Danio rerio: one gene and its partner. The protein of the gene in region 1 interacts with the protein of each later gene in a pairwise test. Links are inferred from orthologs where the notes say so. Each region holds a gene or a part of one and is shown in the gene's direction. Other genes may lie near its edges.

Region 1 (3,661 bases):
GATTATGATAATTGGGTTATTAACATGCTTGATTGCCCTTGTCTGATGCAAATTATGGCAAAAGGAAAATACTTAGAAGAGAGGTTGGGGGTTGGTGCATAGAGAGATGAAAAGATATATGAGCCAAAGGGAAGGAATAAGATAGTAGGGGTGAAAAGTGGAAAAAGAAGCAGGAAACACTGATTGAGAGAGTGCTGAGAATAAACACCCTGCTCAGCATCAATAGCCGTCAATCACTGATGTTCAGTCGTTGTGTAACCATTCTACTCTACTTTGACTTAAGAGCAAACACAGAGGACATTCTCCTGCTGTTTGTATTCAGCTAAGGACTGCTGTGTCTACTTTAAGAGATGGTATTACCTTTGTGAACCTAAACACAACCTCTACTATGTATTAGTATTTCCTTTTAGTGTTAGTATATATATATTATTTCCTTGTGGTACATACGCTACTTCAAAGAATATTATAATAGTACCATGTCTAAAGAAGCATTGTTTTAACATGTCCAAACAGTTGTAGTACAGTCTTGGCATCATATAGTAATACAAAGATACTTGCATAAGTCTCAGTACCATGGTACATGTCCAAAAAATTAGGTAGTACTGTTTGGTGGTACTTTATGCTATTTTTAGTAGTGTCCAAATTAAAGGGAGGGTTTCGCTTACATCGGTATCTGCCTCCTCTTTTATAGCACTGCGACACTTGTTAAATCATCTGGGCCTGTTTATCATGCAAAACCATCCTCCCACTAGTGCTGGACAACAGACGCAGCTGAATGGGTCCAATCAATAGAGCTCAGGGAGGAATGTCAAACAAGCCGTAACACTGCACAGCATCATTGTTTTGTCACGTGTCTCCCCATACAATCTAGAGTAGGAGGAAGAGGAAAAAGAAACTGTGCTAGCTTTCTTATTTGATGGACAATTTTTAACTTAACATCCAATATAGAGAGACAGTTCTAACTTTCCTAATATACTTATGCATTTATCAGTTTGTTGAGGCATGTTATTTTACAATAAATATTTGTTGAGCTGCTGTTAAGATAGTCCTCTGTAAACGACTGCAAGCTATTTGTCCATTCAGCACCACTGTGGCATAGAAATAAATCCTGATGCACAAAATATTTACAGCCTTCATTTTTTGGTTTCTCATTTTCTTCAGTTTACATGGCTTTATCATCTAAAAGCTGCTGAAATTATGTTTGTGCATTAAACCTGATTATGTTTCTTTATTATATTTCAGGTTCTTCCTGCAGTCCTGGAGACTCTCTCTCGGAAGGAAATGATTCCACATGAATTGCATGGACCGCTCTCCCGCAGCAGGTGTGACTTCAATTGCTTAAGACTGAAATCTGTGTCAATCCGACCATAGGCACAGGACACATCCCCTCTCACCACCACTCTCCTCTCTACCCCATTCCCATACTCGCTCCAAGCCAATCAGTAGGAGGGCACACTCTGTTAGCAAGACAAACGGAGACCAGGAGGGAGAGGAAAAGAGCCAAAAAAGGGGAAAGAAAAATCCGGAAAGAGTGGTTCAAGATTTTCAGACACCATGAAGTCAAACCAGGAGCGGAGCAATGAATGCCTGCCCCCAAAGAAGCGTGAAATCCCAGCAAGCACTCTGCCCTCAGAGGAGAAGCCCATGGTGATGGCGCCTGCCAATGAGAGCCAGCGTGGAGGGAACCTGGCTTGGCTTGCCAGTCTGGCCAGTGGGCATGACAAAGGCCGGCTGCACACCAGCACGTCTGCAGAATCAGATGGGCCTCAATATAAACCATTGTCAGCCACGGCTGAGAGCACACCTTCCTCGTCCACACACTCAACCAGAGCTCTATCTGCAGTGACCACCATACCTGCAGTGTACACATCACCTCTCTCCCATTCTCCTAGCGCAATCCAGTACACACCCCTCCCTCACAATATACACTTCATCAACCCTCCTTACTCTGCACCATACGCTGGCTACATCTCTCCACTAGCTCCCCCTTTAGCTGCCACCACTACCACACAACGTGAGATTTATGCCAGCTCCTCCAGTTCTCCAGCATCCAAAATTGATCAGCACCACCAATTGGGCCGTCCTCAAGGCCTGGTCACAACTGACAACACCTCTTCACCTCACTCCACTCAATATGTTCAAATTGCTGGTTCTCCACTAAGCATATCCCCTCGAACTGTTTCGTCACCGCATACACACTTGCCCCTACATTTACATCCTCACCACACACTTCCCCTTAGTGGCCCTTCACAGGTCTTAGTCCCATACACAGAAAGTCTTTTACCCAAGAGGGAGGAGATGAGGACCAGGGAGTTGCTGAATGGAGAGCTGGAGAAGGACAGACGTTTTGGTCCATCTTCTGAGTCCAGTGCAGGGAAGCAGGGCAGCACTGCCAAAGGGGGTTCCTCTGCCCAGCAGCACCAGATCCACCAGCAGCAGAGCCCACGTCACTTTGAAGCTCGACATGTTGTGCTACCTGCCGAGTACACGCAGGACAGCACAGCCATGAGGACCTCATTGGTGCTGGTACCTAATAATCATAGCTCCACTAGTGCTGATTCTGGAGGTGCATCAGACAAGCTGCCTCCCTCGACATCCCACCATGAAAAAGGAGGGATTTGTGCTGGCAAACCTGTCTCCCGCAGTTCCTCCTTATCTTCCTCCCTTTCATTTGCTCTTCCCCCTCCACCTGTGGACAATCTTAAGGGAGCAGTTCCAGCGCAGTCTCCTCATGCAGTCATTCAGACCACACTTAACAGCACAGAGTCACTCTCTCTAAGCCTCCCCTCCACTAATTTCTACTCCACCCAGCAGCCTATCATTGGTTACTTTGCCGGCACAGGGCACCAGCAGCCTCTCAGCTACCACACCACCTTACCCCAGCACTTGGTCATCCCTGGAACTCAGCCGGTCATCATCCCAGTAAGTGGAACTGAAGCTACCGCTACATCAACTGCTGCACTGCCCCATGCTTTCGTCACCTCAACAGCCCCCAAAGTGGAAACTTTTGAATCTCCGGCTCCATACCCCCACCCTGCCACAGCTATGGTTCAAGCCCAGTTGCATTTGCCTGTGGTTCCAGCACCTGCTGGCCTGCTGACAACTCCACCCCCACCCTCAGCTCCTTCAATGCCACCCTACTTCACCAAGGGCTCCATCATCCAATTGGCAGATGGGGAACTGAAGCGGGTGGAAGACCTGAAAACAGAGGATTTCATTCAGAGTGCTGAGATTAGCAACGAGCTGAAGATTGATTCCAGCACTGTAGAGCGCATCGACAGCAGTCATACAGCTAACTTTGCTATAATACAGTTTGCTGTAGGAGCGCAACGCTCACAGGTGGGTTCATAAGTTTTCTATTTAACATTGCTGCTTGTAGACACATCTGAGTATCTGTTTTTCTTATGCACAAAGATAAGCGGGGAAATAAACTTGAGATTGATGACTATGTGATATTAATCAAACACTGTGTACCATGTCTGCACGTGGTAGTAAAGGGTTTATTATTAAAAAAAAAATCTAATGGAGTTGACCTTTGCCTAAGTTTTAGGTGTGTGTACAGCAATTATATTGTCCTCCATATATTATATATTGCCAATCTTTATGAACCATAACTTCCGTTTGTTTCTTGCCATCTCTGAAATTAGCATTTTTAACGAGT
Region 2 (3,297 bases), on another chromosome or scaffold:
TTTTTTATGTTTGTATTGTTTGGTTTTTTATCTAAATCTGGTTCAATTCCAGGTCAACAGCTCCTTTAGAAACATTATTCCCAGGAAAAAAACATGACCTGTTCAATACTTATTTTCTCTCTTTGTAAAAAATACACTGATTATAGGAATTATAACTTTTGAAATTTCAAAGTGAAATGTTTACTTATGACATGAACATACTCTTAAAGGGACAGTTCCCCCAAAAAAATAAAATGATCATCATTTTACTTTCGCTTTACTTGGGTTTCTTTCTTCTGTTCTGAACACAAAAGATATTGACGAATTACCGGTTTGTAAACATTCAGGAGGCCTGCGCGTCGCGGCTGCAGAAGAAAACCGGGAGTGCTAGCAATTACAGCGAGGGAATGACATCCGATGCAGTACAGAGTTTATTGTTCGATTAGAGAAAAGTTTTATTGATTACATATTATATATATTATTTACATAATGCTTTAAGCGTATTATAACAGTTTGTCACCCAGTGATAAGCACAGTTCTGTCATGATCACCAGCGATCTAACCACCAGAGGTCACTGTTTACCACTACCGTTCACATGAACTACAAATCCACCATGTTATGGACTACATATTCCGCCATGCAACACACACACACCTGCTCCAAGTCTCCTCTGATTACACTCTCGTAAAGTAATCAGGGATGTGACACTGACAACAGGGGTGAGGATCCAAATGCAGGGTTTTATTAGCGAGGTCAAAGCAAGGCAAGGCAAGTTTATTTATATAGCACATTTTATACACAGTGGCAATTCAGTGCAAGCAGTGGTCAATAAAGGGGCAAACACATGTATAAGGGCAATCCAGAGTTGTAACAGGCAGCTGGTCAAAAGGCAGGCAGCAATCAGGATTAAGCAAGGTGAGGAAAACAAGACAAAGGAAAATACGTTGTAGTGTCACCAAAACAGTAGACAAGACTCAGCCCTGAGTGTCTCGAAGTGAGCCGAATATATGTGTGTGGTCATTCATTGAGCAGCATCAGCTGTAAGAGTGTAATCAGAGGAGACTTGGAGCAGGTGTGTGTGTGTGCTGCATGACTGAATATGTAGTTCATAATATGGTGGATTTGTTGTTTATGTGAAAGGTAGTGTTTACCAGCGACCTCTGGTGGTTAGATCGCTGGTGATCATGACAAGTTATTCTGCAAAATTAAGAATAAAGTGAGCAGCGTTCATCTGACGGGTCCATTTGCGATAGCACCCTCCCAATGAATATTGGATAAATGAAATGGCCAAGCATCCAGCCCCAAATATACAACTATCTGATTAAAACTCTAAGTGATTTTACATAAGAGAAGTTAAAGATCTACAAGTCGAGCAATTTTAATTAGGTGCTTGCTCCATTCAGCTCATACGATGGCTGTTAGCCAAAGACGTCTGTGGTTGGCATTAAAAGCAGTGTGGTGTACGCTAAAATTAAAGTTTCTAGACTTTCAAATTTGGCATCCTACCGCACAAAACAACATGTTTACTATTGCAACTGGCCTCTTCTTGCAACTGGTATGCGCGATTGAACCAGTGTGACATAGGTTGGTAATTCCCCTATACTGAAGAAACCTGTAACCATTGACTTTCATAGTTTTTTTCCTACTATGGATGTCTGTGGTTACAGGTTTTCAGCTTTTTTCAAAATGTCTTCTATTGAGTTCAGCAGAAAAAAGAAAACACTTGAGGGAGAGAAAATAGTGAGTACATTTTCAGTATTGAGTGAACTATCCCTTTAAATGCTGTCTAATGATTATTAAATCAACTAAATGAAAACCCTGCTGGTACATCTTCCCATATAATCAAATGTTTTATCCCCAACTGACATCTACAGGACCAGAATGAAGACTTGTCTGCTGAAGTCAAAAGACTCTTTGAAGAGTACAATAAAATGGTATCCTTACTTGCCGTGAAACATAAGAGTGACTTTGTTATTACCACGTGTTGCCTGCAGCTAAAATCGCCAACACAATAAGCTCTTTTTGAGCATCTGAATACTTTTGACACGATTCTCCTTAACCCTTTCACAGATGTTTCTTCTGTCCAAACAGTTTTCACAGTGGGATGAAACTCTACGAACGCTGGAAGGACCCAAACAAGTCCAGCAGATTGATTAGGACCATAATGATTATGATGTCTTTCACTCTACTGACGCGTTTACTTATTACTGATGAATAAAACAGCACTGTCATTCCCAAACATGCATTGGTAATGTGTTTAAAGTCCGCATTAAATCAAAATTTGCATTGTTTATTTTGTTGCCACCACATTGTCAGTCTTAAGGTGAACAATGAATCCGTGCAAATTAATCCATTGAATTATTTTGTTTTGGTAATCTTTAATCAAAATCTGACCATCTGCTTCTGCTTTGGACCAGCCGCATTTGTATGACATCAGGCTGAATCTGATTGGGCAGATCCTACTCAATATACAGCTGCAGTTGGAAATGCTTCATAAAACTGAAATAAAACAAATGCAGATTTTAGATGTTTTGATGACGTCAGGTTGAATCTGACTCATTTTTGCTCTATTTATTTAGTCCAGCTATTATGATGTGTGTATGAAGATGGCTACACTGCAAAGTTTCTCCTAAAAATACCTTAAGCAATGAAATAAAAGTTCGACTGTACTATATAATTGGGTTGTATTTGTATTTATTTATTTTTACAGAACTATGTGACATTTTATTTACATGACAGGTTTTTACATATTTAAATAACATGCAGTCATGTGTAAATAAATCTTTATTTTACTAATATATATATATTATATATATATATTTTTTTTTAAATTAATATTTTTTACCAGATGCATATGGTTTCTGTTTTGTCAATAATATTTTAAGATTTTATTTAAAACACTAAATAAATACATAAAAAAATCGACGATCACTGCCTTTTAAGATTTGAAGAATGTTTGCATCGACTTAAATAACATGCAATCCTGTGCAAAATAAATTAAATTTTTATTCATATACATAAGATATTTTTTTATTAATTGTTAATGAATATTTTTCACCAAATGTATACGGTATCTGCTTTGTATAATAATATAAGATTTAATTTTAAAACACAAAATAAATACATAAGTAAATGGACGATGATGTAATGCACTGAACATTAAATATTAGCGTTGCATTAAATATGTCATTAAAATTAATTTTTCTACCTATCTCAAACCACTTAATCAAGATTTGAGTAATGTTTGCAACGGTTAAACTAACATGCAGTCATGTGTAAAATAAATCCTAATTTTACTAATATAAACAATATTTTTA

Evidence for each region. The genes of interacting proteins can lie anywhere in the genome.
Region 2: the proteins of atxn1a (region 1) and dctn3 interact in binary tests that used the Homo sapiens proteins (3 or more experiments, as listed by UniProt). The link is inferred for Danio rerio from reciprocal best matches to the Homo sapiens genes ATXN1 and DCTN3.

Annotation. Positions count from the first base shown.
Region 1 is NC_133194.1:34,917,287-34,920,947, forward strand, and holds part of atxn1a (ataxin-1a), read left to right. Parts: intron 1-1,242; 5' UTR 1,243-1,554; coding exon 1,555-3,339; intron 3,340-3,661. UniProt on the Homo sapiens protein: Chromatin-binding factor that repress Notch signaling in the absence of Notch intracellular domain by acting as a CBF1 corepressor. Binds to the HEY promoter and might assist, along with NCOR2, RBPJ-mediated repression. Binds RNA in vitro.
Region 2 is NC_133191.1:5,362,991-5,366,287, reverse strand, and holds the end of dctn3 (dynactin subunit 3), read left to right. Parts: intron 1-1,854; coding exon 1,855-1,914; intron 1,915-2,050; coding exon 2,051-2,137; 3' UTR 2,138-2,657; downstream 2,658-3,297. UniProt on the Homo sapiens protein: Part of the dynactin complex that activates the molecular motor dynein for ultra-processive transport along microtubules. Together with dynein may be involved in spindle assembly and cytokinesis.